Drosophila melanogaster: one gene and its partners. The protein of the gene in region 1 interacts with the protein of each later gene in a pairwise test. Each region holds a gene or a part of one and is shown in the gene's direction. Other genes may lie near its edges.

Region 1 (7,536 bases):
TTAGTGTCGTGGCCGATGAACTACCCCTGGATTGCACTGCACCAAGTCCACTCCATGACAGTGGAAGGACCAGCAGTGCTGGAAGCGAGATACCCGTGGAAACCCTGCCAGCTACTGTGCAAGTGGTGCCCACAGGCAGCAACGAACTGGCCTGCGCCGCCATTTCCCACAAGCTGGGAGCCATTGCCGAGGTAGCCGAGTCCCTGGACGCAGTCATCCGGGATGTCCAGCAGCAGGAGGGCGTTGTTAGCAATGGAATCAGCAATGTCACTGGAGGACATGGCATAAAAAAATTGGGAAGCATTGAGGTAAGTTTAAATAATAAAAATGTTGATTCTTTTTCCGTTTGTGTAAAATGGTACTAATCTCGTCGCTTTAGGATTGGCAATCGCGCTCCACCGAGGACGAATCCTTCGCCACTGCCTCCGAAGGCAACTTTACGCCGAACTCGCATTCCTCATCCTTTCAAACAGCCTCAGGACGCACTAGCTCCTACATAGGATCGGCCAAGAACTCCTTCGATGAGGCGGACGACTCAACTTTAAGCACATTCGAAATACCCGAACTACCACCTTCGCCAGTCAATATGTCCTTTGATAGCTCCGAAATGAGCTACTTCTCCGACCGTCAGCAGAGGATGAAAAGTGAAGATCAGGACAGTGTGGCGGGCATGGCAGAGCTGCATAGTCAGAGTGTAACGCCCACTCCGGACGAGGAGCAGCAACACCTGCTTCTGCCACTACCATTGCCGCAGGCCATCGAATCGGACAGCGAGGTGGAAGGATTCAATTTGGCCACTGGCATTACGACGGAGCTGGCGCCCAGGATGTCCAACGCCCACACGCCGGAGGTGAGCTACACATCGGCCAATAACACCGCTCCGGCTTCAACTAACCCCAACGAATCGAAACCGCCGCCTTCTTGGCGACGCAGCAAATACTACGAGAACATAACGAAACAGACGATCAAGGGATTTCTCTGAGAGATCTGGACAAGCTGTCCCAGTTGAAAGATGAACACAAAACGATTTCCCGCCCAATTAACCAGCGCCATTTGCTTCTCTGCCGATCCTCGACATTCTTGCCATTAATTAGTTGGCATACTATTTTTGCTGTTTTCCCAAAACCAATTTTAGCCCATGAGCTAAAAGTTTTTGTCTTTTTTATTTTGTTTGCCATTTTACTTTGCATGATTGTTCACTGTTTTCTACCAAAATTTATTAGTTCGATTGAACTTTAGCTTAAAAGATATACTAAAATGCCTGCGCAAAAGGTTTTTAAATATTTTATGTTTGAAAAATGTCTTTTGCTTATACTTTCTCTGCTTTAAATATAGTAGTAGAAATATTTATTTAGTTAGTTCAAATTAAGTCTAAGGCTTGCAAAAATTAGAGAATTCCCAAATGGTTAGAAAATATATTTAAAGTAAGAATTTAAATTCACTTACGGCCAGTCGAAATTTTTGCCATTAATCATATGTTTAATATTTATTTATAACTATTTCTCCCACACAGTCACAGTCACAAAACATAGTGCAATTAATATCGAACATGTTTTACCCCAAAAATAAAGCTAATCATTTATAATTTTTTTCAATACCTCCTAACTTTTCAGGTATTTAGTTTTAAATTTTATGCTTAAGCAAGTAAGTAACTCGTAACTGCAAAATTTGAATGTAATCTCGAAAATCCATGAAAACATTGCATAACTTTGGGCTGCATCCGTGAAAAGTCATTGCCATCATCTGCACTTAACCCTTGAGTGCTCTTTTGGACTTTTCCACCCTAAATAATTTTTTTCAATTTCCCTCTGTGGGTGGCCCTTTCCCCCAAACATTTAACAAGTGGTCCTCAAGTGATTTCAATTATCTGAAATGTGAACTGGCAGTGGGTGCAGCGGGGAAATGGGGTTAAGAGGGGTTGGCTGCTTTTGTGAGCTTCGTCAAGTGGCTCATTAATCTCAATTAAAAAACATATAAATAAATCGCTCTGAGTGTGGTGAGTGAGTGAAAAGAGTTTATACTTAACGAGCTGATCATCCAGAAAGGCGAACCAAATATCTATGAGATTCTTTTCATGCCATTCGACCAGATTTTCTGACGTGCCGGCGCTGAAAGCATAATTCGATAAGTTCGAATCGTTGATAGCGAAAAATAATAACACACATCTGCAGCGCATTGATTGCCGCAACTGCTGTTGCACGCAAGAAGCGTCGGATGTTGCACGTTGAATATTGCACGAAATCCGGAGCCAAAGCCAAAGCTGCAAGACACGCATTTTGGGTGAAAAATACTTCATAAATTGGGGTATAGAGCATCATGGGTGGTGAGGGGATTTAAATGCGGGCGGTCAGTCAGTTTGCCTTGCATTAAGACACGATATCGTCTGGTTTCCTCCGCTGCTCTGGTGTTGTTATTTTGATCTTCCACTCTTCACCATGTTATTAAAGTACAAAAGCTGCACTTGAATATGTTGTGGTTTAAGGTACCTCGTCTTATATGGGGTGTATAAGACCAACGAGGAAAAGGTCTAGCCAAGGGGAAAAATCATCCACACATAAGATGTTAAGTTAGATGAATATTCAAAAGTAAATGCGAATAAATAAAGTGAGGGCATAAGAGGGTAGCAACAGTTCGCTTAAAGTTACCCTTTATCATCAGAATTACAGGGTACAAGCTCGCTTCATATCGCTTTACCTTCTCTTCGTATTGTAATTGCTGAAAAGCCGGGCGCAGGGCATTAAAAATTGAAATCATGAATTAACGACGCCGCGAATGCCAAGAGCACTTGTTTATTTATGTCGTCTCCCCTGAAGCCCCGCATCTTGCCTCTTTCTCTAGCGTCTAGCGTCTCCAGCCCTCTCTTTCACACTCTCTCATTTTCAAAATACAAGCCGGCTTTTCAAAACTGAGCTTAGCCAGTGTCAAGAGATCAAAACAAGAGAACCGCTACCTGCATGAATGAATTGAGCGAATCGGTTAAGTTTCATGGGCTGCACGCTCTTTATCTCTTTCTGATCGGCTGTCTCCCGTAGAATCTGCTCAGTCTTCGGTCTCCGGTCTTCAGTCTTCCGATCATTTAGTCAGTCTTGTTCGAAGTTCGCGGCGTTCGGTTGTTCGGCTGTTGGGAAAGCGGCGCGCGCGTTTTGATTTTCCACATCTCCACCGCTCGAATATAATGTGCGAATAAAAACATATCTATGTAAATTAAGTTAGGCAGAAAACGAGGAAGAAAACAATAAATTTGGCACTTCAAAAAAAAAGCGAAATGAAACGTAAATTAATCAGCCATAATTTACCTAGAACATTTTTGACATTCAAAAATGCTTGGCGCTAGTTTTTTTTGCGTTCACTCGTCTAAAGATGAAATCAACAATCTGTGCTAAATTTATTGTTGTTGTCGAATATTCAGTTTTGTGACGACCCTCAGAAAGCACAAACAAAATGTTTAACAAATAGAAAACGACACAGAATGCGCGAAAAAAATATTTTTCAAAAATATTCGGTGACCTGATGCATTGAAAGCTTATTTGTTTGAGTCATGTGCATATTTCAATATACTACAACAGTCCACGCCCCAGAAAATTTCAATCAACAATTTTCCATTTTTTTTTCTTTTAAATTTTTTGGACAACAACATATGGAGGCAAAGCATTTCCTCGATTGCGCTACTGTAAACTTTTATAAAGGGAACTTGTTCTTCCCAATTTTTGGTTTGCTGCTTATTTTTAGACAGCGCAAAGTACAATTAAAATAGTTTACATTACGCCAGCAACGGCGGCGACTATTAAAAATTGAGAGAAACACCAAAAATTACCTAATGGAGGCAGCTGGCTGCACACGAGCATACGCGGCGTATGCGTAATGTATTCAAAAATATCGAAAAATCCATGAAAAATGACTGACTGGCGACGACTTCTGCCAATGCAATTGGCACATGTTACAGATTTGACGAACATCCGCGCGCTTTATCTATTAGCTATAGTAGCCTGTATCTGTAGCATCGCAGTATCTGAGTATCTGGGCTAGAACAACAGTTTAGCTTCGTGGCAGAAATCGCCGCAAAAAATTACTCAATAGTTTGTTGTTTTAAAAATAAACGCGAATCGAGCATTGTCTTTGAGTTTTGGCGGGGCGGGGGGCTACCGAGGTTCTACAACGAGACTAGCACACGCATCAAAGGCAATTTTCTCAGGCTCAATATGCAAAAAGTACACACGATTCTCTCGGCTATATAGCCGTATATATAGACACTACGGAATAATAAACAGACACTAGAGCGACAGGGAGAGCGCGAGTATGAAGTCATAGTCATCGCGGCGGGCAAAAAGAATTCTCCGTTTCGAAAATCTACCGATTCGCGGAGGTTCTCAGACGATCGCCGGCGTTGATAGCGCTCGCAACGAAACGAAGGAACCGCCGAATCGAATCCCCTGGCTATAACTAATCCCAATAAATTAAATCCGAACGCGAGTGACTCAATCTAATAGTTCCACTTTTTCGAGCAGAGTTCAAAATGCAAAACACGAGACACAAGCAGGGGAAGTAAGCCAAAATACGAGAAAAACTAAACGACAGAGATTATAAAACGCCCACGCAAAACACACCAAACTACAAGCACTCACTCAATCCTCGAAAGTTAGTCAAAAAAAAAGAAAACAGAGAGAAGTAGAGACGAGCAGATAGAAAGAAAAGCAACCATGGAACGCCGCCAAGCCCTAGACTCATCGATGTCTTCGCTCTACTCGGTCGCCTCCTCCTCGAATCCCAATCCCCGCCAGCCGCACACCGGCCACCAACTTCAGACGCAGCAATCCCAGCAATCTCAGCAGTCCCAGCTAGACGCCTTCAATTATTCAGCAACAATGTCATCATCGTCGCCGACTCCAAGTCAGGCCATGTCCACAGCCATGTCCACGGGCACGGGCACCGGCACCGGCACCACCCACACCACACCACCATCCTCCTCCTCCCTGAGAGCCACCACCATTGGCACCGTTGTCGTCCGATGCGGACCCATCCAGCTGGTGATAGCGCTCCTACAAGTGAGTTGTACTCTTGTACCCCGCAAACAATAAAAATAGTAAACTAAAAAACGAAACGAATCCAAACAAAAAACACACAGCAAAAAGGCCAAGAAATGGGAAACAAACATGAAGAAACATTTATCTAGATACGGGAGAAGTGTTCGGAGAAAGCTCTTGAAGTGCGCGGAAATTTATGCGGAAGGCGATCTGGGAGGACTTCAAAAGAGATTTGGGACGGGGCATTGGGAGATCTTGAATAAATCATAAATCTAGAAGTGCAGTCAGGTTTCGAAAACACGGGGAAACATCTAGGATAAGCTGTGGTCATTGAAACATCTTATGAAAAAAGTTGCATTCGACTCAGTTTTATGTGAAGCTATAAAAATCCATAACAACCAATTAAGCCAGTCTAAATATATTAACCTTTTTTTTCAATATAAATGAGCTTATCATTTGAATGACGACATAATCTTTGTTCATTATTAATGACAGTGCAATTATATATTTACATTTTTTTCATTTTGCGTAGTGGGGCAAAAACAGTCTGAGAGATGTAAAGCAAAGAAAATAGTTCAATAGATACATTATCTCAGATTGTTATCAAATCATTTTTCAATCAATTTATCACTATAAAACAACGTTCGACTATTATTAAATGGCCCAGCCTCCAACCAAGCAAATGTTCACTACCAATCGGTCGACATTAATTGATAAATTTCTATAATTATCCCATAGCTAGCCCCTTCGGATCTGAGGCAAAACTATGTGACTTTAGCACTGAAAAATTCATGAACTTCTAATGCCCAAAACTGGCTTACAATTTTCGATTGTTTAAACCGGCTTCCAGCGATTTCCGCGCCAATTAGCACTCGAACAACGAAAGCAAAAGTTGTTGATAGCGGTTATAAATATTTGAAAAACGGCAGCAGAAAAACAAACGCCACAAAAGGTTCAAGGTTGTCTGACATCAGAGCAAAGACACAAAAGCCAACTAAACGTGACAAAAAGAAATGTATCTGCCAGATACTTTCGACAATTAGGCGCAGCTGCTACCTGTCTGGGTCCATTTCGAGCTGGCAGAATCAGTTTCTTCAGAGAGAAACTTTGTTTGGGTCTTCTCCGCAGATTTGCCCCCTTTTCCAACCCCTCCAAATCGCTCGAACTTGAAGATGCGACTTGAACTTGAGATTGAGAAACATTTCTGATGAAGCGCTACAAGTTTTATGCCCCGAAACAAAAAACATTCAATAATTATGGGCATCGGTGAATGGTTTATGGGCTTTTGCGGCAAGGGGCAAGGGGACTGTGCCCCTTTTTGCACCACCTTTTCTGTTCATTCAACCAACGGATCATTGAAATTTCGGTGTGCCACTTTGTGCCATTTTTTTTTTTTTTTTGCTGGCCATCAGAATAACTATTTTTGCTTCATATGCCATTCGAGACTCACGGCTCCATGTGTTAAACATTTGATTTGATTTACAACTTTTTCCCCCCTCCACTTTTGATTCTGAAAATTATGCAAAAACATTTTACTGACGAGCCTTTCAACACGTTTCTGTTGTATACGTGTACTCGTGTTTCCATGAATTGAAAACTCGCGACCCCAAAAATATACAGATTTCTTTAAATTTCCGCTGGCCTGCTTGGAAACAGTATTGAAATTCAAAAACGAAACTAAATAATTGCTTACCTGTCGTTGTTTTCGTTATTCTCGAACTGGTCCCAAAAATGCTGTTGAAAATAAACAAGAGCGATTTCTCTCCCCGGTTCTCGCAGGTAAACAAATTAGCAACGGAACAGAGCCAAAAAAAAAGCTGAAATAAGAATAACAAAAGTGTACAAATAAATACACAATATTCCACAATAAAAGCCAACAGATGTGCAACAAACACACACAAAATGAAACAAATGTATGAGCTAAAAAATGTTCGATGAGCTCAGCTCCTTATTATTATTGTTATAAATTCCACGTGGGCGGTGGGAGATTTTTTTCTAGGGGAAGAAAGGCGGCGGAAGTTCTTTAAACTTTGTGCTTCAGCATAAGATTAAGGAAACAATAAGTTGGCAGAACCCCCTTCGTCCCGCGGCTCGTAGCTTAAAACTATGCAAATATGTCAAAAGTTTCCTTCCTTTCTGGGTTTATTTTTCGAAACAGACAACAGACAATTCTTTCAGTTAGTTTATTCTAAACAGAAAGAAATTTCAAGTGGCAAGAAATTGTATTTAAGTATTAAATCTTGGCAAGGATAGTTTTGCTACTATTTTTAAACAATACTATCTGTAATGCGGATATTCATTTTTACCAATTTAAAATTATGAGACCTTAGAACTTTACTTTTCTTTCTGTGTACCCATACTCCACAACTCACAACAAAGTTGAGTTATTAAGATTTTGAATGTTAAGTGCTGGAAGAAAATATGAATATCTACCAAGTTTTTAGTGGCACAATGCGATTCTGTGGTGACTACTTAAATGACATTTATTTGCCTGTGAAAAACAGTTGAAGATATT
Region 2 (6,896 bases), on another chromosome or scaffold:
ATCATCATCACCAGCAGCAGCAGCATCATCAGTTCCATCCCCACCACAATCACCAGCATCACTCCACATCCTCGCATCGGCTGTATTATCCGCCAGGTAGCTATGCCTCGCAAAAGTACAGCCAGCACGGCAGCTACTATCCCCACTTGCAGCAGTATGGCAATGAGACGCTACTCTAGACGGAATTGGATTAGGTACCATTTCAGGGCAGGAAATGCTTCCTGCTTCCAGTCAATGTTCCTGCAGCAGCTGCTGTGCCAAAGTCAATCCTCTACTATAACTTAATGCGGTTTCGGGTATCGAAAGAGGCAAAGCAACTTAAATGGGTGGGGAAACGGTCCAATTTGTTTGTCATAAAACGATCGTGAGATAACGATATCGTTATTTCGATTTTAGTTGCTTTGCCTGTCCATAGAACACAATGGGGTAAACCGATCTATGTACTGTGTATATAACCCCGGAAATGTGCTCTTAGTGCTTTAGTTTGGGCCTTTATCGCGAGGTCATAGGTCATCTACAATGTATTTGTAATTGCCCTAGATGGGCTTCATATCCTATTTTCCTGTGTGTACTTAATGTTGCTCCTAATTAGTTGCCCCTTGCGTTGCCTTTTTACCATTTTGGTGTAACCAAATTCAATAATCGCTCTTGCCTTTTAGACATTAGGACTTAATGTGTGTCGCCTTTGCGTACATAACACATATATACATATATATATTTAGCATTTTTATATAAATTCTTTTTTTTTGAGTTAGAGAGAGAGAGAAACGCGCAGCAACCAAATACTGTGATACGCATGTTCATGTCTTCAAAAACAAAAAAATAAAAATGGGAACCAGAAACTAGGTTTCCAACTTTGCTGTCTTCTCCCGATGCCGAAACAAGTGTACTTAACAATCGAAAAAAAAAAACGCAATTGCAATCGTAGCCGTAATGCCTAATTGTATTCAGTGTGCCATTAGCTTTAGGGACTTAACTGAAACGAGTCAATATCATGAAATTACCTTAAAAGAGTCCTTTTCCAGCAACGAACTTTGGCGGAATTACTGAGGGTTTTCCTTCAACTTCTGCTGATTTTCGCACAGAAAAAGTCCTACTTCTAAATGTCCAACTAACTAGCTAAGAAACTAACTAACCTTTATACAATTGCGGGCTAATACGAATCGTATGGAGCCCGCGACTAACAGTATATGTATTGTATTGTATTGTATTTTATATGTGTATTTTTTTTATTATCATATATGTATATGTATAACTTATTTGCTAGCGAATAAAGTGTCGAAAAGTTAATATCTGTTTTGATTCATTTCGTTTCGCATGGTTTTTACCAAGTAAAAGAGTCTCCAAGTGTCGCCAGTACTCCATGAGCATTTTGTTTCGCCTTCCTGCCAAGAAAATCGCCACCTTGCACAACCCACCTGGCAAGTGGGTGGCCCAGTGGGCGCCTACTGCCGTGTGGGTGGCAAGGTCGCCTCGCTGCGTGTTGGTTCGCATAGGACGATGGTTTCGTTGCGATTGTTGTTGCCGCTGCTGTTGTTGTTGCTGCTACTGGTCGTGGTCGACATGGCCCGCGGGTGCCAATTGTCAAGGTCCTCGTCGCCGTGCTCCTTGGCCCTGTGGTAGTTCTCCAATTCGCTGGCATACTTGCTGCTGGTGATACCAAGCAGGTGGGCCAGCCCACCGCCCACATAGTCGATGCCGGCCAGGAATCGGTTGCCCATCCTGCTGGCCTTGTAACGCAGGCGTGGTCCCAGCGGCATTTCGCTCTAAAAGGTGGCAAAAAAAAAAAAAGCGGGCTAAATGAGTCACGCTAAATGGTCAATGAGGAGGGGGGCGGGGGGTGGCAGCTGCTTATCTTTTTCGTGGCCCTGGGCCCTGTTTGTTTACTTAAACAGCTCAAAACACACATTTTCATTGAAAGATATAAAATTTCTCACATTATTATCATAATTCGCTTCGAACATTAGTCACGTCTCGAGCTCAAAGTGAAAAGTTATTATCTGGATCAGGAGAACTGGGCTAATCTTGAGCAAATTTAACTAACTGTGTTAATCCGGACAATCCCGCTTTAAAAAAGGTAAACAAGCAATGCAGCTACATGACCATGTACTAAATGGATGGCCGGAAGTGCATTACTCCACCCATAATCCTTGCTGAATGTATGTACCTCGTTTAAATGGACGTCGTAGCATTTGTCGCCCATTTCCGCATCCGCCTCGTCCTCGCTGCCCGAGGACAACTCCTCCATGACGCCGTCGCTAAAGTACAGCATGCGCTTGTTGGACTGCAGTTCAAGGGCGCTCACATTGTCCGTCTCGGATGCACTTGCTCCACTCGCAGATGCCAGTTCCAATCCTCCAGCTGCACTGCGTACTTCGCCACTCTTGTTCCTCTCCGCTGACATGGCTATGGATAGCTCTAAACCCGATTAAGTACCGCCTCGATTGATTGACGCTGCGCGAATGTTTTTGCTTGCGCTTGAGCTTCGTTTGAATCGCAGCCGCCGTTTTGGTCATGAAAAAAGCGGACGCGGGTCAACGCCAAATGCGTATACGGCCGGCTGGGGGCCAAAATGTCCTTGGGTTGGGGGCCACCGGCGAAACGACTCACAAACGGCGAGAATCGCGTGCCATGGGGCGCTTGGCGCAGTTAGGTGCAAAGCAAATCGATAAACTAAAAGCCGCTTTCAAACAGCAAAAAAAAAAGTCGAAACAAAACAAAGGTGCGGCAGTGTGACCAGCTGATGGTTTTTGCAAGCTAACTGGATATTAATTTAGATGTATTGTAATAAAAATGAAATTGCAGTCGTATATATCGTAAATGTTTTTGTTTATAAAAATAATTAATAATATAATAAAAAAATTAAGTTGTGCGTGCACATCCTGTGCTTATAATTTAAATAATATAACAATAAAAAATATTATATTATTAAATAATTAAGTTTAATGGTTTCCTACTCTGTACAATTGACTGGTGCAATGGTTATTAACTTAGCAATATATTCAAAAACTAAAATGGTTATCTAGTGTTCCATATTTAACCATCGCTTGCAATGCATCGCGTTTTAAAGCTCTGGTCACACCAAACAGCTGTTTTGTTTGCTTCGTTTAATTCGTTCTTTTTGCAACAAATTGCATCCCAATCTTCCAAAGCAGGTATCCAAACATGGAGTCCCCAACCTCGCACCTGGTGGCCAAGGGTGAGTGGAAAAAGCGGCAGCCGTCAATGGAATCGGGGTCATAAATTCCCAATTAGATTTCCAGGTGACGGGTGTTTCGCGCAGCGGACGCGTACGCAAAAAATCGTCGAAATTGTTGGATTTTGAATCTCCGGATGAGATCGAGAAGCGCACAAGGCGTCACAGTGGCGCCAGACAGCCAGCCAGATATTCGGGCCGCGGCAGGCCATCGAATGCGCTGCGTGATCTGGATCTTGACCAGGAGATGCTCGTGGATGATGGCATTATCTCGGATAGCGAGGAATTCCATCCGGATACAACGGCAACGGTCGTGGCCATTCTGAATTCCGACGATGAACTGGACAATCTGGTGCAGGATATCGTCGATGGTGTCCAGGCGGAGGCCACCAGCCAAGAGTCATCCGTCCGTCAGAGTCTTTACATGCGCGAGAAGTCCAACAAGCGGCAGGTGCTCAAGGACGGCAAGGTGGTGAGTGCCAAGGTGCAGCGCAAGGACAAGGGCAAGCAGCGCTACACCGCCTACAGTCTGTGGGCCAAGGAGGCGCGACAGAAGGATCTCCAGGATCTAGGTAGGTTGCTACACATCTGTGCGCTCTCTATCGCTTATTGACCATTCCCCGCACGCTTGCAGACTTCACCAGCGCGACCAGACGCCTCAGCGAGCTGTGGGCGAACGTTTCCAATCGGGACAAGAACACCTGGCGGCGCAAGGCCAAAATCGAGGCGTCCAGGGCCAAAACTCGCGACAAAACCGCTGCAAACGGTGCAACCCAGCCGGCGAGCAACGGCAGCACGGCTCTGGCAGATGCCACGCAGCACGAGACGATCTTTCAGAACCGTGCGACAACAAGTCGCACTCGAAAACTGGCCGCCGATCGGCAGCAATCCTCAATAGAAGCGGCTGCCGCAGCGGCGGCAGCAGCAGCGACTGGCACCAACACACAGCGGCGCAGCATCAGCACACGAAGTGCCAGGTCGCAGGTCTCGAAGAGCGCGACGAAACAAGCGCAAGTGCACACGGATGCGGACGTCAGCGGCCGGACTGGGGGTCAGCTGAAGCAGGAGGAGGTGCAAAAGACCAGCATCGAAGTGATCGATGCGGCCGCACATCTGAAGCTGCTCGGCGAGAGCCTGACTGTGATTGGCGAGCGACTGAAGAAGCACAATGGATACGTGGCGCTATCGGGCAGCTTGTCCGTGCTCCTCGACAGCCTGCTCTGCGCCATGGGACCGCTGCTCTGCATGACCACGCAAATACCCGGCATGGAGAACAATGTGCAGTTGAGCAAAAATCTGGCCGACACGCTCGACAACATCGCCTACGTAATGCCCGGACTATGAAGTAAATTCCGGATTGCAACTGCAAATGCATACATATATATATATATATAATCATACCAGGCCGCTGCGCTTCCAGCGGCGACTAGAGTCGCCATCGGGATCTGTATGTTTGTAAGGAGTTGGCCAACCTGGAAATAGTTAATCGCATTAGATATGCCTAGTTGATAAACTGAAGCATCTAGATCGTAAGTAAAAGGTCTCCCTCTAATTGAGTTTTTTTTTTATTTGCTTCTTGAATTGAAATTCGTACGCTAAAAAGTTTAGTAGTTCACTTATTTATTTCCACTTTTTGTTTTTTGCAACATTTAAGCACAAATCATCGAAACATTGGTAGAATTAGGCAACATTAAATATCCTATAATCCTTAAGTGAAATAAATGTGAATCACAAGATTCTTATTTCAGCTTCAAATTAAGCAGGCACTTTTTATAATAAACGTAATAAATAAAGATAAATATAAAAGCTAAAAATATGAGATGATTTCTTCCTCTGCCCAAAAATCTTTATAAAAGTGAAATATTTTTAAAAATGATCTCAAATAAGCCATAATTGAAGGTTCGAATAGTGGAACTATAAGCTAGATATAAACTTTAAATATTTATAAATACGTTAATTATTTGCTTACTTTCTAGAGATGGCACTTCGCTGGTGCGCCATCGATGACTTGGCTTGCCGTTACAACGGCGAGCTATCGATGTTACATCGCCGCCCTGCCCACCACTAGCCAGTCCGCGGAAAGTAAATAAGAAGACGGACGCCAAATCGAATCTTCCCACATCCCCGGATGCAGTGCAGCAAGCTCTGGGTCCCTGAGAATCCTGCGTGGGCCTGGGATTCCGAATCCTCTTCCGCCCCGGATCCGCACGTCAGCGCGGCATCCGCATCCGCCACCGCTTCCGCCCACGCACAGCATCCGCAGCCACATCCGCGGCAGCAAAAAAACGGTGAGTTTTCCACCTGCATTTTTTTTTGGATTTTCCGGGGGGGGGGGGGGCAGCAGCTGTGATTGGGATGGAAAATACTTGTGTAGGTGGACGGTCAGGTTGTAGGGGCGAATTGCGTGACGGCAGCGCTACAAATTGGATTAGTGCGGCGATTGATTCTGAATGGGAGATGTAAACAATCTTCCTGTGCACTGAGAAAAATAACATGGTAAAGCAAGGCACAAAAAAAGATGGAAAGATTGGTTGAATAAGATAAAATAGGTTTAAGACTAAGCTGAAATATCATTAGCCAAAAAACATGAATGTGAAATGAATTACTTTAAAGGATTCTTAAGCACAATTTGTTTAGAAAATAAATTCGATTCAGTAACTGTTAAATTCAAAGCTTAAAAAGAAATGGAATACCTTGCGATTTGCAGTCCAGACATTTTCTCGCAGTGCACTAGCTCCCCGCCCGCTGTTTTGTAATTGGCAATATAAGGAATGCCCGAGGTATCTATTTTTATACCGCTTAGCATAGTCGTTATGGTGATAAATTCCGAAGGGGGGGTGGGGGGTTTGTTCGTTATGCTTTTCAACCCCGTGACCTCCCACCGCGCCCAATGGGGCATACTTTTGGGGGCGCCGGGAACTGGGAGGTGTTTTAATTCCACCATCGTTGGTTTATTGAAAAGTTGTCATAACTCAGAACAGACAAGCCAGCAAAGTTTCGAGTCCTCTCAATTGCGGGCAAATACAGGCAGATCTTAAAACTATAATGTTTCATTAAATTCACGCCGTCATTGAATCGAATATCGTGTTTTCCCGTTGGTAACTATCTAGATATATGAACTAATTTAAAAGGAAAACTCAAGGTTTTTATGTAAAACGAACGCGTGGTTTTTCTAGCAGCTCATTTTCATTTCAATTGAACTTTAAGATGAGCTTAAAACTCGCCTTTCGCATTTCAAATACCAAATAATTGGTAAACATTGCCATTTACACAATCAATCATATTATAACTTCTTCGGGTAATGAGAATGAAAACCTTTTCTTTTGGATTGAAAGTGCAATCGGATTCCGAGAGACGCCATAATCATAATAGTGCGCCCGCGGATGGGCATATGTTCATTTGTACATACATACATCTCATCCGAATCGGACTTTGAGCCATGTTCTCGACACGCGAGATAAGCGGCCGGCAATCAGAGAACTGGTTTCAATTGCGGATCGGGTCAAAATCGCCCAACCTTGGGCCATTGTATGCAAGTTGTCTGTGCGAAACTCAATGAGCATAAATTAGTCTCAATGCAGGAATGCCTCAAGTGTCCGGCCGCTCGTCCATTTCCATTGTCCAACCATTATTGCAGCTGGCCAAGCGCTGGCTTATCACTCGAGGCGAGGCCCAAAAGGCGAAGATAGAGACGAATGAT
Region 3 (8,343 bases), on another chromosome or scaffold:
GCTATTTCGTAAGATGTAGTTTAGTTCTAGTTTTAGTTACCAGGCGTCTCCTCAGTGTCTGAAGCAAATGGAGGCAAGTTGGCGGAGGTGCGCACGTTTCGGAACATCTTCATTCCCCTGCGACCGAGATGACTGATTTCTGGGAAGAAGGTGTCCCACTGCGGATGGTTTCGTTAGGAGGGCTCAGTAGCAGTAGTAACACTTGGCTTACCAGGTAGAAAATGCCGTACGCCAGGAGAATGGCCAACATCAGGACGGCCGTGAACTTGGTGAACTGCATCAGAATGAAAACAATCACACCTGCGAGCACCTCTACGTGCGCCACTCCGAGGAGCTCGAAGCAGTGGCGGACCTCGGAGATCCTCATCGTGACCAGGTAGCCCAGCGCGGAGTTCAGTGACTCGCAGGCGCACCTAATAGCGTCAGCCATGGCTGAAGTCGAGGAGTCTGTGTGCGTCCCAGTGAAGGCATTTCTCCCCGGCACAGGGTTTTCGAAAGCTAAAGTGCGGCGAAACTTACTGCCAAAGCAAAGGCAATTGGATTTCGACTTTTTCTTAGCTAAAGCTAAAACTAAATATTTTATTCATATGCCTTAAAAACAATATCCTCTTTGGTGTTAGGCGTTAAATTACTTTTAAAACTCCCCGCCTTCATCTGTATTTTCAAAACTAAAAGTATTTTATTGGTATATTCAGTAAACTCAGGTCACACTGCCGAACAGCTGATCGACTCGAAGGTTTTGTTTTTATTTTTGCAAGGGCTGTTTCTTATCATTGAGTTAACCAATTGTAAGAACAATAACTACTATTTATCTGTACTTATATATAAAGAATATTATTCATCTCGCATTTTTTAGTTAAATGCTAAGACGCACAATGGCGGAATTCGACGTCAAAGCCGGCCTGCAGCACGTGTTGAAGCGCATAGACGAGGTGCTCCTCCAGCGGCCCAAAGTAAGTTAACTTAAGACCCACTTATTAATGACCTCTTAAATGAAAAACTTTATCTCTCGCACAGGAAGTTCAAGCTGCCAGGCCGCTGCTCGTTGCTGTAAGCAAAACAAAGCCAGCGGAGGCCGTAATCGAGGCTTACGAGGGCGGACAAAGAGACTTCGGTGAGAACTATGTACAGGAGCTGGAGGAGAAGAGCCGCCACCCGGACATTCTGGCCAAGTGCCCCGACATCAGGTGGCACTTCATAGGCCACATGCAAAGCAACAAGATCAACAAGGTCAATTGGATAACCAAGATCGGATAACAGCGTTTATCTCTTATCAGCACCTCTCTTTATCTTATTGATCTCATTGTTTATTTAGATCCTTTCTGTGCCAAATCTGCATATGATCCAGACCGTAGATAGCGAGAAGTTGGCCACCAAACTGGACGCAGCCTGGTCTAAGCGACAGCCCACCCCTGAGGAGCCATTGCAGGTGCTCATCCAGATCAACACTAGTGGTGAAGACGGTGAGTCTCACGCCCCCAAACTAGCGACCTTATACTTACTTTCCTAAATCGACCTCTAGTTAAAAGCGGAATAGAGGCGAAAGATGCTCCTGCACTCTACCAGTACATCAAGAGCAACCTTAAACACCTCAACCTGATGGGCATAATGACCATTGGTGCATTTGGTTTTGACTACAGCAATGGACCCAATCCGGATTTCGTGTCCCTAATGCAGGTGCACAGATCCATATGTGAGGCGCACTCCTTGGCCCCGGACTCGGTGCTCGTCTCCATGGGAATGTCCAACGACTTCGACAAGGCGGTAAGCTACAAACCGACTGAGCAAGTTCCGTCTCTAAAATCGAAACTATTCCCTCAGATCGAAATGGGCAGCACAGTGGTGCGCGTTGGCTCTTCTATTTTCGGCCATCGGGCGGCCAAGGTGTAAGAAGGGGAGCGGAGCAGAGATGTGATAGGAATGCGTTGCGGGCACTGAATACAGCCGATTCCCAATGACGTCCGACCTCACGACTGAGCACCTCCAAGTTCGCTCATGTATCAGGTGGAACTGGGTATATTCACACAGACTAACGTAGTAAATCAGCAAATCAAAGATGATTTGGCGTTTAAATTTAGAAACCCTTGAGATAAACAAATGTTATGTGTAGGCTGTTATTTGCCTTATTTAATTGTTAACCCTTTATAAACAATGCTTCCAAAGTGTCAAAACCATTAATATTCCCAGAAACATTCTGCACCTTGGAAAATTGAATACATTTGCCGCAGTTTTCATTAGTTTTAACATTCCTTCGACTGCGTCTTGCTCGTTTTTTGCACTTTGTTCTATTTTTACATTCGCGTATATTCAATGCTACTTTGCGTATTAGATTGTGGGCAGTTTTCCTCTATATCTTCTTGTTTTGGTTGGCCCCAGGCCAAAATGTCGCCTGGTTACGTGCCAAAATGGCTGCGCCATGAGAGTTTTCGCCGAAAATCACTTTCAATGGAGCACGAAGATGACTGCAGCCTAAATCGATTTTCATTATGTCTGATCGATGAATTATGAAGGCTTTCTCGCACGGATCCCATCGTTAATTGAGATATTTTCCGTTTCATAAATTTGCATAGAGCCTTCATTAATTATAATATTAGCCAGCGAGGGTAATGAATTCAGGTGGCAAAGATGACCTCATGTAAATATTGTTTTGAAAAATGTTTTGGCTTATTTCCTTCAGAAAGCAAAAAGTCGAATAATTTGCAGAATGAATATTTCTAAAAAAAATAGATGTAAACTATATGAATAATAATATTTTGTAACACTTGAAACTAAATTGAAATTTCCTGCTTATTTGGAAAACTAAAAATGTGTAAATAAGGCTTTGAGAATCCAATTTGTCGATTGAAGTTGTCACAATTTTACTATTTATTTACTGAAATGGCTTAAATAGCTTGAATACTGCAGTGTTTAATATTTTTAGTAACAAGGTTAATGTATCATGACGTGGTACCCAAAGTTTATCTGAAATGGAAATCCTACAGCCTTCCCATTGTTATGCAATGTCCATGGATGACTAGCATATAGATAAAGTCAGATGTTTATTCCACATTTGTTGCCGAAATAACTCTGGTCCAATATCGGGTTCGTTGGATATTTATGCGACACGAAATCCGCCCGATCGCCGTGTATGTATATACAGATCTATAGATTTGGAATTCTCGGCGCTCTTCATATTGCACAATGTGCGGGGCATTTCGAAAACAGAAAAAGGAACGTAGGCGAGCAAAACATCGAGTATATAGGCGTGAATAGAATACATACATATGCTATATGTTGGCATATATGTATGCTGTCCGCCGCCAAGGAAAATGTAGGTGATTTCAGCGCAAGAGGACACCTTTCGGAGGTGGCCTCTGGCAGAGAGACGCACCGAGTAGTGAAGCAGAGCAAAATAAAAGAAAACAAAACAGAATCCGAGGATGGGGAAATGTATCCACAACAGAGAGCCGCTATATGAACCAATCCGAATCGCCCCGAAATAAATTCCGAACATATGTATAGGCTTCTGCTGCCCAAAAGCCAAAGCCAAAGCAATTTCTCTGCCTTTAAAATTAGATTTTTGATTAGAGCAGCGCCCGATGGATGAGTAAACACCTCGGATACAGCTACACCATAGGCTATAGGCTATAGCCATGGCTATATCTATATAGTTGTAGCTGCCCGCCCCCGCCGATCTCCTGGGCGGACCTCGCCTTGCAGATACTAAAAAAGGCAGCACGAATATTGCAGATACGGATACAGCGAATGGCGCCCGAAGATCCCCGAAGGTGGCCGAACCTCCACGAGCGGCCCCAATGCTTGGAAGAAGAAGAGCTCCTCCGAGCTCTTAAAACATCATTGTCTTGGCGATAAAATCAGCCAGAGATTCAGTGTGCTCTGACGGCTCGACTCGATTAGACAACACATCAAAGTTCAGCACCATGGTAAGGACTCGTCCCGGAATATCACTACAATCCAACTGAACCGAACTGAACCGAACCGAATCGAACTGGACCCCAGTGCCTGGATATATGCAGCAAGGATAATGCCGATCAGTGCAGTGAATCGTTTGCATTCGAGAATGACCCCGAGGATATGAATATGAAGTGAACCATAACTCTAAATCATGGTGATCCCGATTCACCTTCTTCACATACGCAGTGAGAATAGTGCAGAAAGTTCTATAAATGGATCGATCCGATCCGAGTGTTACGCGTCAGTAATGTAATCTGATATCCGTGCCGGGGAGCGAGCGAGACAGCGAGTGGCGCACGGCGGAGAGCTTACGTAATATGCGTCCGGTATATTTTTAGAATGAGTGGAAAACTTTCGCCTGCAGATACATATTTTCTGGCCTAGTCGGGTAGGCCTTTTGAAAAGCATACCTTACATCCCTTAAATCCCTATTAAGGGATAACTTTCTACCCATATAATTCCAATTGAAGATCCTTCAACGCGGATAACTTACTAAGATCCCTAAAACGAATAGTATAACTTCCGGAATCGGAACTTTCAAGTGACAGCTAAAGACGGACTATAACGACTAATGACCGAGTAGATACCCCCTTTCTGCCACGAGTCCCTACTAATAAATCCCTCTTTTCTCTCCTCAGGCCGATGAGAAGAAGAAGGTTAAGAAGAAGAAGACCAAGGAAGAGGGTGGTACTTCCGAAACCGCTTCTGAGGCCGCATCCGAGGCAGCAACCCCGGCACCAGCTGCCACTCCTGCCCCGGCCGCATCTGCCACTGGTTCGAAGAGAGCGTCGGGCGGATCCCGTGGCTCCAGGAAGTCGAAGCGCGCTGGCTCCTCGGTCTTCTCTGTGTTCTCCCAGAAGCAGATCGCCGAGTTCAAGGAGGTGAGTTTTGGGCGTTACTCATATATCGCATCATATGTCGGATCACTCGAGACCCATCCCATCATCCTGTCATCCTACCATCTATCGCACTTGTCAAGGACCAAGTCACCAACACACTCTTTCTTTCTATCTCTCTCTGTCTCTGTGCGGGATCGATAGGCCTTCCAACTCATGGATGCCGACAAGGACGGTATTATTGGCAAGAACGATCTGCGCGCTGCCTTCGACTCCGTCGGCAAGATCGCCAACGACAAGGAGTTGGACGCCATGCTGGGCGAGGCCTCGGGTCCGATCAACTTCACCCAGTTGCTGACCCTGTTCGCCAACCGCATGGCCACCTCCGGTGCCAACGATGAAGACGAAGTTGTTATTGCTGCCTTCAAAACATTCGATAACGATGGTCTCATCGACGGTGACAAATTCCGCGAAATGCTCATGAACTTCGGTGACAAGTTCACCATGAAGGAGGTTGATGATGCCTACGATCAGATGGTGATCGACGACAAGAACCAGATCGATACCGCCGCCCTGATCGAGATGCTCACCGGCAAGGGTGAAGAGGAGGAGGAGGAGGCCGCCTAAGGCACATCCGATCACATCCTAACTTCTAACTCAACATCCATTTTACAGCCAGAATCAGAACGTTAAATCAATCAGTCAAATCAGTAATAATAAACGTAATTAAAAGAAACGCTCGTTTACATATGTAGATTCTCAGTATCTTGTAATCTCTTTTGTTAACCATCACCAAGTACCTTGTACCAAGAACAACACCACCAACCAGATCAGCAACATCCGATCAAACTGAACCTCAAAAGAACTTCTTCAGCAACATTTGGTAGCGATCAGAACCATTTACCATGTATCTGTCCATCATAGTTAGGGATACTTACGATCACGTTCACTGTCACGGCAAGAACTGACGCGTAGTTTTCTAGTTGATTTACTGTTAAATTTTACACGTAAAATTTATAAAACATATGCTATCTATTTTATTTAAAACACCTATAAAATCAACAAAAAAAACTTAAAAACAACAAACAAGCCGTGTCTATTTTTATATCGCTGTCCGTTGAAGAACTAAAGAGAAGAACCCCCAGAGAGAGATGATTACCAGATCGAGATCGAGATCGGAATCGAAATGAGGATGTATGATGTATGATTTATGATGTAGGGAGGACGAAGACGATGTTGATGGGTAGCCGGGCTGTATTCGTTAGCCCTGCACCCGCGAGTTCAATTTGATTATGAATATGAATTTTAGCCAGTTTTGTGAGTTACAATGTTTTTCGTTCAAGAAATCTCGCAGGACCAGGAGAGAGAGAGGTAAACCCATAACAAACTATTGTTAGGGATCATTTAACTGAGAGCCAAATATATATCCTACTATCACAAAATATTTATCGTTATACATATCTATCGTTCGTTACTTACTTATTTATCAGTTATGAGTTATCAATATTATTGCAAGTTATCGAGAGTTAGGCTAATAACAGAGAAACATTAAGTTCATTCACTCAAATTGTTTAATGCGAATTTATATAACTTAACCATCGCCACCACCACAACTTTCTGCTTATGAACTATCAGCGATATAAACCACCCAAACGAACAAACAACCCAAAATGATATCTGAAATATGAAGAAACATTCAAATAACAAACCCAGTGTTTCTAGTTAATGCGTTTTGAAGCTTCCAGGATGATACGCCTCCCCGGGAAATAGACGGTCGGGGGGGTTTTAGTTTGAATAAGGTGCCCATAACCACTAGTACCTAGGCTGATCGGAGGAAGCACAATATATTGCCTTATTTATCTAATACTACTATTACTCAGAACTCAACACTTGACACTCGACACGAGCACACACCACACTCACACGCACACTGCAATCCATTTCAAAGTGCAACATGCAACAAGTTGTTAAATGCAAATCGAATCTTTACTTCAGTATATTTTAAGCTACACACGGCAAGATGAAAAAATTCAGAAAACTTTTAACCCGGTCAGGAATATTAACAAGAGTAAAACAAAAAACATCTAAAAATAGAAAACAAGTAACTGTTTTTATACAACATAACTAGATGATGATACGATGACGAAGTCTTGGAATAAAGCAAAAGAGAGTCGTCTTGAAAAAAAAACACAAAGCCATTGAAGTTTGATTTGCTCAGGGAAGGGGTTTTTTGGGGGTATGTAGTACCTTACTGCATATCTGACTCAGCTGAGCCGTGCCGGAAACCAGTTCCAGGTCAAAACAAAACCACCGATAAAGCTGGGGAGCTGAACGAAGCTGTGGAGCGCAGTGGGAAACTCCCCACACTTGGCCAAGACGATGGCCAAAACCGAACACGAACCTTCGAGCGACCAGTTGTCAGTCGAGTTTCGAGGCGCACGCATGCGCACTACGATGTGAAAGTCAGCCACGCTTGTCATTGCCACATCCATTCCGAACAGCGCTTTTCGAATAATCTGGTTACTCAGGGCGTAAGTAGAACCAGAACCATGGCTCCAGGTGGACGACAGCTTTTGTGGATGGCTTCCATCTGCTGGATTGCATCACTAATGAGTGGAGGTGAGTGCTGGGAATCGATTGCATTGTATGCAGATATTGCGTGGCCAAAGAAATCGAAAGTATCTCAGTTTGAGTCTGGAATATCTCACCACACTCTCGAGTGCACTGCAAGAAAAGTGATATACATTTGGGGCGAACTAAGCCCTTATCCTATGCTGTATACTTTGCTTCGAAAGTAAACTAACCTTTTATTTCCAACACTATATTTTATGCATATAATTATATTATTCATTCATATTTCTCTCTCTGCGCCTATGAGATATCTCACCTTACTAATGAACACTCCACTCTCACTATCGTTTTTGTGCCTCTCAGCTGATGCACAGCATCTGATCGCTTATATCTCGCAAAGAGGTCTTCATGGAGAGATCACTTTTCGGCAAATGAATGCCACCACGGTGGAGATCAAGGCCAACCTGGAGGCCACTTTGCAGTACCCCGACCAAGTATGGAGTTGGGGAGTACGTCGCTTCCCCGTGGACTACTCCAATATTGACCCAGACGAACGCTGCGAACTGAGTCGTTTGGGCTCCCAGGTCCTGTCCTTTGACGAGGACTTGGAGTACCTGGTACTGCCCGGAAATGAGACCTCCAGCTGGGAGCGAAACATGCAGTTGATTGGGGATCGGGGAATCTGGGGGAAGTCCCTGGTTCTGACAGAGGTCAACGCTAATGCACGGATCTGTGCCACCATCACCACCATCCAGAGTTCCGTGGAGCACATGGCAGAGGCTCGTTTTAATACTCCTGTCGCTGGATCTGTCCATTTCCGCTGGCTGGCCCCGGCGGAGGGAGCTGTTGGAGATACTCTAATCTACTCGGATCTTTACCATATTAGGGCGCAACCAGCTGCTCTGGAGGAAGATAGAAGTCAAGCTGGACCGTTCACCCAGCACCACTGGAAGATCTATGTGACGGACATTTTCAAACATGA
Region 4 (9,008 bases), on another chromosome or scaffold:
CTACATGGACCAATCCGTGCCAGAAGGTCAGTACGATTGAGTCAGTAGGGTATCTTAGCTTCTTAAGATCAATTCGTAACTGTACCTCTACTGCTCGAACGGCCTTATAATTCCCAAGTTGTTTATCTATAAGAACTAATCCCTCGATTATTTCCTTATTTGCTTGTTTTTATGTTATTATTTCAGTGCTTGATTTTTACTAGTGCTTAATTTTGTTATTTTGTGTGAACTACAAGTGATTTGTTTTCTGTGTAACTATAAGTTATAAGTTCCTCGTGCAACTAGTTAATTTTACACTCTGAAAAATCAGTTGCTCTTGCTTGCCGTGTGCCATGTGAAAGTCCTCGATTGCAGAAGGATTGTATATCTGATGTGTTTTTGTGCATTGTGCTCCCCGTAGATGAGGAAGTGCTGGTGGCCATGCAGCCGTGGAAGGAGGTGATCGACGAGACGGGCAAGGTGGTGGTCGGCAACACCAAGGTGGATCTCACCAAGGACGATTGTGCCGCCGGAGAGTGCAACTTGGGCAACTTCTTTTGCGACGCCATGGTTCATTCTGTAAGTTGGGGAAACCTTCTATGGATCAAGTATATGCAATCTTTTCGCTTGCAGTTCGTCGGAATGGCTTCATATGAAGAGAAGGTTTGGACGAATGTATCCGCCGGACTCATGAACATCGGAGGACTCCGTGTGCCGCTCAACAGAGGCAGTAAGTATTGGAATTTAATAGAAAATTCGACTTGCAGATTTGGTATTAAGTATAATTTGGATCAAAATGATGCAAATATGAGTGGAACATCTCGTTGAGCTCGTTATTAAATTCCCAATCAAGTAGCATTCAAATTTGAAGTTTTCTCTTGCTTTTTTCGAAAAAACGTTAACAGAAAACACAAAACAAAAAAATTGATTATTATAAATAAAAATATAGGTATACCGAAGGGTAATTTAAGACAAAAACTGCACAAAAAATTATATTTGCTATGTTATCATTTTCGGCCAATTTCCAGTAGAAATGCTCTTAAAAAATTTCAAAATTCTTCAAACAATAGAATGCCGATTGTATGCCAAAATTGATTAGTTTTTAACCCATATCAATGGAGTTATTTGTCCAAATATGGAATGTCATACCTCGCTGAATTCGTCACAAAATTCCCTTTCGAATGGCATTCACAGTTTAAAATGTAATTTTTTGTCCATTTTTCGCAAAAAATTATGATTATAAAAAATCAGAAAATTCGAAAAAAAAAAAATTTTTTTTAATTATGAAAACGTTGACAGGAATCGTTTATTTGGATCATAAGTTTTATAAAACAGTAATTTTTTTGAATGTGTGACCATTTTTGGCCAAGTTATAGGATTTTAAATTCTTCGAAAAAATCATAATTTCGGCTAAATGAATCCCCAATTTTGCAACAAAAACTAATCCTTTTTTGTTCATAGCAATGAAGTTATTAATCCAAATACGGAATGTCATACTTCGTTGAACTCGTCACCAAATTCCCTTTCGAATGGCATTCACAGTTTAAAATGTAAATTTTTGTCCATTTTTCGCAAAAAAATTAAGATTATAAAAATCGGAAAATTCGAAAAAAAAAATTTTCCAGAAATAAATATACGAATTTCGGGATCGTTTATGTGGATCATAGGCTGCACAAAAAAGTCATTCTCTTGGTTGTGTGATCGTTTTTGACCGCGTTATAGCAAAAACTCCTCTAAAAATCTTCAATTGAATGTATCCCTCAGATCTTACGTACGCCCATATAGTCAGCATGTCGCCCTTCGAGAACACGCTGGTTTCCTACAATCTGCCGGGCAGCAAGATAGTGGAGGCCATGGAGTGGGCCCTGAGCAAAGTGGACCTCGAGAACGGGGTGACCGGATCGTACATCAATCTGCAGTTCTCGGGCATCCGGGCGAAGTACGACTACACGAAGCCGGTGGGATCGCGTGTCATATCCGTAACGATTCGTTGTGCGGACTGCGAGGTGCCCAAGTACGAGCCTCTGGTATCCGACAAGCTCTATCGCCTCACATCGCCCAACTTCCTGCAGGCTGGTGGCGATGGCTACACCATGCTCGCCGAGGGCACTGACCTCCAGTACGTACATACAGGCAGCTCATCTTGTGTCCCATGTTGTAATACCATTTGATTATTTACTGATTTCAGGTGGGGAGTCACGGACTTGGATGCCCTAATCTCGTACAGCAATCACATCAATCCCATTTACCAGGGCCTCGAGGGACGCATCACAGTGCTCAACTGATTATACATACATATGTATTATATCCATAATGTGCAATAATTGCATTTTCCACAATAAATTTATCAGGGAAAGTACACAAACATATCTTTTCTCTGGAAGATTATTGATGCTGGGGAATATGTTTGGAGGCAATGGTTGCATAATATAATCATATACCATTTAAAATCTCCCAAAGATGATATCGTTCTACAAGCCATGGTGCCTTGGCAACTCGAGATGAAACCCATTGCCGAGCGGACAGTGGGCCAGAGTCGCGTGAATCTCCAGCAGAGTCAGTGCAGCAGTGGGGAATGCAATCTGGGTAACTTCTTCACCGATGCTATGCTTCATGCGGTAAGTAGTGGTGGCTTCAACCCACTTGCAACTGACCTAGTCCAATGAGAATCTTCAGTTTGTCAAGGATGCTTCATCGTCGTCTGAAGAGAGTTGGAGTAACGTGACCATTGCCTTGACATCAACGGGAACTTTTCGAGTGCCTATTCCAGCTGGCAGTGAGTCCTGAAAACAACATGTATACCTTAATCGAACAATAAGACTAAGTATATCACTACAGACATCACCTACAAGCAATTGTTTGCCATGTGCCCATGGCAGAATAGACTGGTGACCCTCAGTCTGCGTGGTAAGCACATTGTGGAGCTGCTGGAGCATGTGGTGGCGCCCATGAATGCCAGTTCGGCCACGCCGCGTTCCTCCCGATTCCTCCAGGTTTCCGGTCTCCGTATCCGTTACGATTTGAACGCCGATCAGCGAGTATTCAGTGTGCGAGTAAGATGCTCCAAGTGCCTGGTGCCCAGGTATATTCCACTCGATTTGGAGCACAAGTACCGCGTGGTCGTCATGGAGTACCTGGCGAATGGGAAGAACGGATTTAGCGTAATCAGCGAAAATGCAGAAGATCCAGAGTAAGCATGTTAAACAATGTTGATTTTGAATAAAGTATTAAAAAGCTTTTTTTGCCAGGTTTGGTCCTTTCGACTTGGACGCCTTAATGGACTACATGAACTCCACCGGGCCAATTACGACTGCAATCGAGCAAAGGATTCAGTTTGTAACTACTTAGACTTTATAGTATGGTCGAAAAATGTAGTAAACCTATATAATAAAATATACATATGTATGGTTTCATTTTGAAAAAAAAAAACTTAGGCGCGAAACTATCGCTTTCCGCATCTAACATCTCTAGCATAACGTATAAAGCTTGCTGCGATAGTTATTCATTATTATATAATTGGATTATTAATAGTTGCGTTGGATTTGCATATTTGCTGTTAATACATTAATATATTAAATTGTTTTCTTTTCTATGGAAACCAGAAAACTTATTTATCGGCGAAAGCTCAATTTATTATAAATATTACTTGAATGCGAGTCCCCCATATGGCTGCCGATAATATTCGATTGCCCGACGCAAGCAATCGATAAGCGCCGGCTATTTTCGATGGCCAACGAATGGTCACACCGATACACATTAAGGTTAGGAAGTTCGGACCGCCTGTGCGCACATTTCGAAGCGAGTAAACTGTGGTGAAGTGGGCTTGTTGTTTCACATCAAATAGAATCGGAAGCGTTCGCTTAACTGTCTTGTCAATAATTCGCAGTACCAGTTTAATTCACAGTAAGTTCTAAACTTTTAAACAATTTCCAGAGCCATTCCCATTTGCCCAATTGCATTTCAAGTTTGTGTGCAAGTGTGTGTGTCCCATTGGCGATTATATAAGAGCGAACAATCTGGCCGATAGCCGGCAAATCGTGTTTCCAGAATGTTCTGTTCATTGATAACTGGAAAAGTAAACGATGTCTGCATTGTGCAGTAAATGATTACATTCCAACAAGAATTTATTAAATCCACCTCAAAACACACAAACACGCATACGGGCGCGCACATTGGAAAGCTGGTGGAAACTCAGTTGCACATGTTTTCCACTGCTTGCCGGCAATTTCACATTTATCAGACGGCATTGCATGTGCTGCTACTGCTTGCCCTGCTTCCTTTCTTTCTTTCCACTCTCGTTTGCGGAAATCTTTGATTCATTGAATAACATTCCCTCCCATTTTGGGAGCTACATATTAGTCTTTTGCCCAAGTGCTGGTTACATAAATCGTTTCTTCTGGAATGCTCGGTGCCAAGATGTTGTTCGTTCCCCGGGGGGTGGGGGTGGGCACTGGAATGAGGGGGCCTGGCCGGTACAGTGGAGCCTCGCTGCTGCAACGAATTAGTTTACATAATACTATCAGTAATACCTAAACTCATTGATTTGGTTTAATTTTTCAATTCAAAATAATGATGTTTATAAGGATGAGCAGAATCCATGTAAATATCTCATGTTGCCTGTGTTTTTAGAACTATTTCATCATTAAATTAGATAGAAACAATAGGTGATTACTGTTTAAATTCGTCTTATATTTTATTTTATTGTATTCACATTAATAACAACCTAAAAAAAAAACATTCTTTCTGCTTATGCAATTCTCACAGAGATATTAATTAGTTTATGTAATTTTCGAAAATTGTAATTTTTATAAACCGAAACTAGATGTATGTACATCTGTATTTATCTAATCCACGTGTTATATGCCATAAATTAGCTCAATGATTATGTTGATAATGAGTTTTTTGCATTGAGCTTTATTAAAAAAATGTATATTATTTTTTTTATAACTCTTTGAAAATTCCCAATTTTTGGAGCATTGTGCGTTTATGTAATTTCCATAAGTATCCGTGTAAATAACATTCCATTGGCTTTTGCTGTCAGTAATCTGAGAAGTTTACAGCTCTGATTATCGGAAAAGTCAAGCGAACTGCGTGTGTTAAACAGTGCTCACGCGTTGTATTCCCAATTTCACATTCAAGAACGAAGATTTTTGACCTTTGACCCGCTGGAAGCTTATCAACTAAGAAACTCCGGGGTAAACAACTCAAAGAAACCGCATCTTAGTTCTGCCCAAGGCGGAACACGTGCTTTGATTCATCTCTTGCTACCAGCCAGTTCTCATCATACCAATCCTCTCTGCTCTTCCACAGATGTTCCGTTTGCCAGTTTCGCTTGCTCGCTCCTCCATTAGCCGCCAGTTGGCCATGCGCGGCTATGCCAAGGATGTGCGTTTCGGACCCGAGGTGCGCGCCATGATGCTCCAGGGCGTCGATGTGCTGGCCGATGCTGTGGCAGTGACCATGGGCCCCAAGGGTCGCAATGTGATCATTGAGCAGTCGTGGGGCTCGCCCAAAATCACCAAGGACGGCGTCACTGTGGCCAAGTCCATTGAGCTGAAGGACAAGTTCCAGAACATCGGTGCCAAGCTGGTCCAGGATGTGGCCAACAATACCAACGAGGAGGCCGGTGATGGCACCACCACGGCCACCGTTCTGGCTCGCGCCATTGCCAAGGAGGGCTTCGAGAAGATCTCCAAGGGCGCCAATCCCGTCGAGATTCGTCGCGGTGTCATGCTGGCCGTTGAGACCGTCAAGGACAACCTTAAGACCATGTCGCGCCCCGTTAGCACGCCCGAGGAGATCGCCCAGGTGGCCACCATCTCGGCCAACGGTGATCAGGCCATCGGCAATCTCATCAGCGAGGCCATGAAGAAGGTGGGACGCGATGGCGTTATCACCGTCAAGGATGGCAAGACCCTCACCGATGAGTTGGAGGTTATCGAGGGCATGAAGTTCGATCGCGGCTACATCTCGCCGTACTTCATCAACTCCTCGAAGGGCGCCAAGGTGGAGTTCCAAGATGCCCTCCTCCTGCTGTCCGAGAAGAAGATCTCATCGGTGCAGAGCATCATTCCCGCTCTGGAGCTGGCCAATGCGCAGCGCAAGCCGCTGGTCATCATTGCCGAGGATATCGATGGTGAGGCCCTGAGCACCCTGGTGGTGAACCGCCTCAAGATCGGCCTTCAGGTGGCTGCCGTCAAGGCACCCGGCTTCGGCGACAACCGCAAGAGCACCCTCACCGATATGGCCATCGCCTCCGGCGGCATTGTCTTCGGCGATGATGCTGATCTCGTCAAGCTGGAGGACGTCAAGGTTAGCGATTTGGGCCAGGTCGGCGAGGTGGTGATCACCAAGGACGACACCCTGCTGCTGAAGGGCAAGGGCAAGAAGGACGATGTGCTCCGTCGCGCCAATCAGATCAAGGACCAGATCGAGGACACCACCTCCGAGTACGAGAAGGAGAAGCTGCAGGAGCGTCTGGCCCGCTTGGCCTCCGGCGTTGCCCTGCTGCGCGTTGGCGGCTCCAGCGAGGTGGAGGTCAACGAGAAGAAGGATCGCGTCCATGATGCCCTGAACGCCACCCGTGCTGCCGTCGAAGAGGGAATCGTTCCCGGAGGCGGCACCGCTCTGCTGCGTTGCATTGAGAAGCTCGAGGGTGTCGAGACCACCAACGAGGATCAGGTACGATTATCTATCTCTCTTTTCTGTTATTCGTGTATTAATGTCTATGAAATCTCATAACAGAAACTCGGCGTGGAGATTGTGCGTCGTGCCCTGCGCATGCCATGCATGACGATTGCCAAGAACGCCGGCGTTGATGGCGCCATGGTGGTGGCCAAGGTGGAGAATCAGGCCGGTGACTACGGCTACGATGCGCTGAAGGGCGAATACGGCAACCTGATCGAGAAGGGCATCATCGATCCCACCAAGGTGGTGCGCACCGCCATCACAGACGCCTCCGGTGTGGCCTCACTGCTGACCACCGCCGAGGCTGTCGTCACCGAGATCCCCAAGGAGGATGGCGCTCCTGCCATGCCCGGCATGGGTGGTATGGGCGGCATGGGAGGCATGGGCGGCATGGGTGGCATGATGTAAGCGACTGCCACTGACTGGTCGACAGCCGGAGAGGGGGAGGGAGATGTGATGAGAACCGAAACCAGCATACTGTTTAAGTCACGATGTGGAACGATGACGTCGCGTGGTCGGCGGCGAAAGCAGCTCATCAGTTATCAGTCATCAGCAGTCGGAGCGAGACCCACCAATATCTCTTACATCGGTGCATCCAGCCGGAGACACATCACCCACCATTTGACACGCATTCTAATCCTTGATGGAACTTTGTTTTGCTTCGCATTTATCCTTTGGCAAGAGCAGCGCAACATCAGCACACAAATCCAACACAACCGGCTGGGTGTGAGCTCGTCGAGACTGCAGCGTTCGCTCCGCCACACGCCGTCGCCTCCATTGTGCTCCACGTTTTTTTAACTATTCCTTAACTCTATTTTTTTTTACATGTTATATATGTAAAGATACCGCTAGTTGTAAAATATATTAAATAAATCCGAAGTTAAATTGAGGAAAAACCTGGACGGCTTGTATCTCTGGCGGTTCGCTACTGGGTTACTGGCATCCCAAATGAGAAGATCGGTCGTCCGCTTTGAATTGTTGTGCTCAAATTTATATTTGTTGCTCTTTCGCTTTTTTGTTTCTTTTGTTTATTAATTATAAATACATTTAATAAAAAAAACCTAAATAATGTAACGCTTAGATGTTTAAAAGAAAGAAAAATATGTTGCATATACTCCGCATACGGTTAATGGGTGCGGGGCCAGGAGGTGGCCTCTGCCAAGTGGGTGCTCCCGCTGCCGCTCCTACTCCAGCTGATCCCGATCCCGAACCAGATCCTGATCCTGATCCTGATCCCCTCCTGGCGCCGGCGTTAACGATTAACGATGACACAATGGCAGTACGTATGTGATCGATGGCGGCGATGGGTCGTCGGCTGCCCGCGCCGACTCCGCCCCTCGAGGCCTATGGCTATGACTTGTCTGGCGGGAGGAGACTGTGCTGTGCTCCTACGCCAGCTGTTGCTACGTCTGGTGACGCTGCTCCACCCACTCCTAGCACTTGCGCTTTGGCGTGCGCCGCTTGACACCGCAGTTGTCCACCTTTTTGCTGCCCTTGGCGATGGCCAGCAGCTTCACGAGCTTCTTGTGCGAATCGCCCACGATCCAGCCGTGCTTCTGGTACGTCTCGTTCTCCTCGAAGTGTTTACCCGGCGACGGTGACGCCTCCTCCGGCTCCAGTTCCGTTCGTTCGCCATCCCGCTGCTCGCTGCCAGCTCCAGCGCCGCGGGATTCACCGTCAGCGGCCTCCGTCTCGTCGTCCAGGCGTCCGAACTCATCGTCGCTGGAGCTGCTCCAGTAGTACAGCTGCTTCTCGCTGGCTGGCCGCTTTCTGCGCGCCGGCGACTGGCGGCTGGTCTGCGATTTTCGCTTGGCCTTCAGATTCTTATTGCTGCTGCTGCTGTTGTTGTTGTTATTGGTGGTGCTGCTGGGGGTGGCGACAGAGCTACTCCGCGGATGCGGTGCAGGCGGCAGTGTCTGCTGCTGATTGCCGTGCTGCCGCACCTTGCTCCTCTCTCTTTGCGCTTCCGGTGCAGCTGCGGGCAGTGGTGGTTGTGCTGGTGGCGGTGGTGTTGGCGCTATTGGTTCCTTCTCCGTTTCATTGGCCTTCACCTTAGGCTGCTGCCTGGAGCTGCGCGTCCTGTCTGGTGGTTCAACTTCCACCTCCGCCTGCTCCTGCTCCTCCTCCTCCTCCTCATCCTCCCTACTTTCCTGCACCCTTGACTTCTCATTAAATCGCTTTTTGCGATTGTTTGTCGCCTTGGTCACTGGAGTTTTGCTCTTGGCCGCTGCTTTGGACTTTCCCCTTGCAGGCGGAGTTAGCACTTCTGGCGCAGGCGCTGGCGGTGCCTGGACAACAGGAGGCACATGTGCTGGTGCTGGCGGCGGTGGCTGGTTCCTTTG

Evidence for each region.
Region 2: the proteins of zormin (region 1) and CG4617 interact in a two-hybrid assay, tested with the Drosophila melanogaster proteins (one large-scale study listed by BioGRID).
Region 3: the proteins of zormin (region 1) and Mlc2 interact in a two-hybrid assay, tested with the Drosophila melanogaster proteins (one large-scale study listed by BioGRID).
Region 4: the proteins of zormin (region 1) and Hsp60A interact in a two-hybrid assay, tested with the Drosophila melanogaster proteins (one large-scale study listed by BioGRID).

The regions. Positions count from the first base shown.
Region 1 is NT_037436.4:2,147,251-2,154,786, reverse strand, and holds the start of zormin (zormin), read left to right. Parts: upstream 1-3,086; 5' UTR 3,087-3,177; intron 3,178-4,505; 5' UTR 4,506-4,697; coding exon 4,698-5,042; intron 5,043-7,536. Other genes in the region: CG15822 (uncharacterized protein), read left to right, coding at 1-308, 380-982.
Region 2 is NC_004354.4:7,100,664-7,107,559, reverse strand, and holds CG4617 (uncharacterized protein), read left to right. Parts: upstream 1-3,068; 5' UTR 3,069-3,165; coding exon 3,166-3,199; intron 3,200-3,255; coding exon 3,256-3,768; intron 3,769-3,830; coding exon 3,831-4,540; 3' UTR 4,541-4,725; exon of another isoform or gene 4,726-4,850; 3' UTR 4,851-5,005; downstream 5,006-6,896. Other genes in the region: fz4 (frizzled 4), read left to right, coding at 1-179; CG8300 (uncharacterized protein), read right to left, coding at 1,446-1,766, 2,168-2,404.
Region 3 is NT_033777.3:30,170,064-30,178,406, reverse strand, and holds Mlc2 (myosin light chain 2), read left to right. Parts: upstream 1-3,855; 5' UTR 3,856-3,920; coding exon 3,921-3,923; intron 3,924-4,592; coding exon 4,593-4,835; intron 4,836-4,994; coding exon 4,995-5,417; 3' UTR 5,418-6,969; downstream 6,970-8,343. Other genes in the region: CG15530 (uncharacterized protein), read right to left, coding at 41-158, 212-430; CG1983 (uncharacterized protein), read left to right, coding at 861-953, 1,018-1,230, 1,316-1,463, 1,523-1,764, 1,822-1,890; Rsod (uncharacterized protein), read left to right, coding at 7,340-7,409, 7,725-8,343.
Region 4 is NC_004354.4:11,104,752-11,113,759, forward strand, and holds Hsp60A (heat shock protein 60A), read left to right. Parts: upstream 1-3,730; 5' UTR 3,731-3,882; intron 3,883-5,051; exon of another isoform or gene 5,052-5,174; intron 5,175-5,289; coding exon 5,290-6,660; intron 6,661-6,723; coding exon 6,724-7,074; 3' UTR 7,075-7,557; downstream 7,558-9,008. Other genes in the region: CG42249 (uncharacterized protein), read left to right, coding at 1-26, 2,440-2,597, 2,656-2,755, 2,818-3,169, 3,228-3,327; CG11122 (uncharacterized protein), read right to left, coding at 8,100-9,008. UniProt on the Drosophila melanogaster protein: Prevents misfolding and promotes the refolding and proper assembly of unfolded polypeptides generated under stress conditions.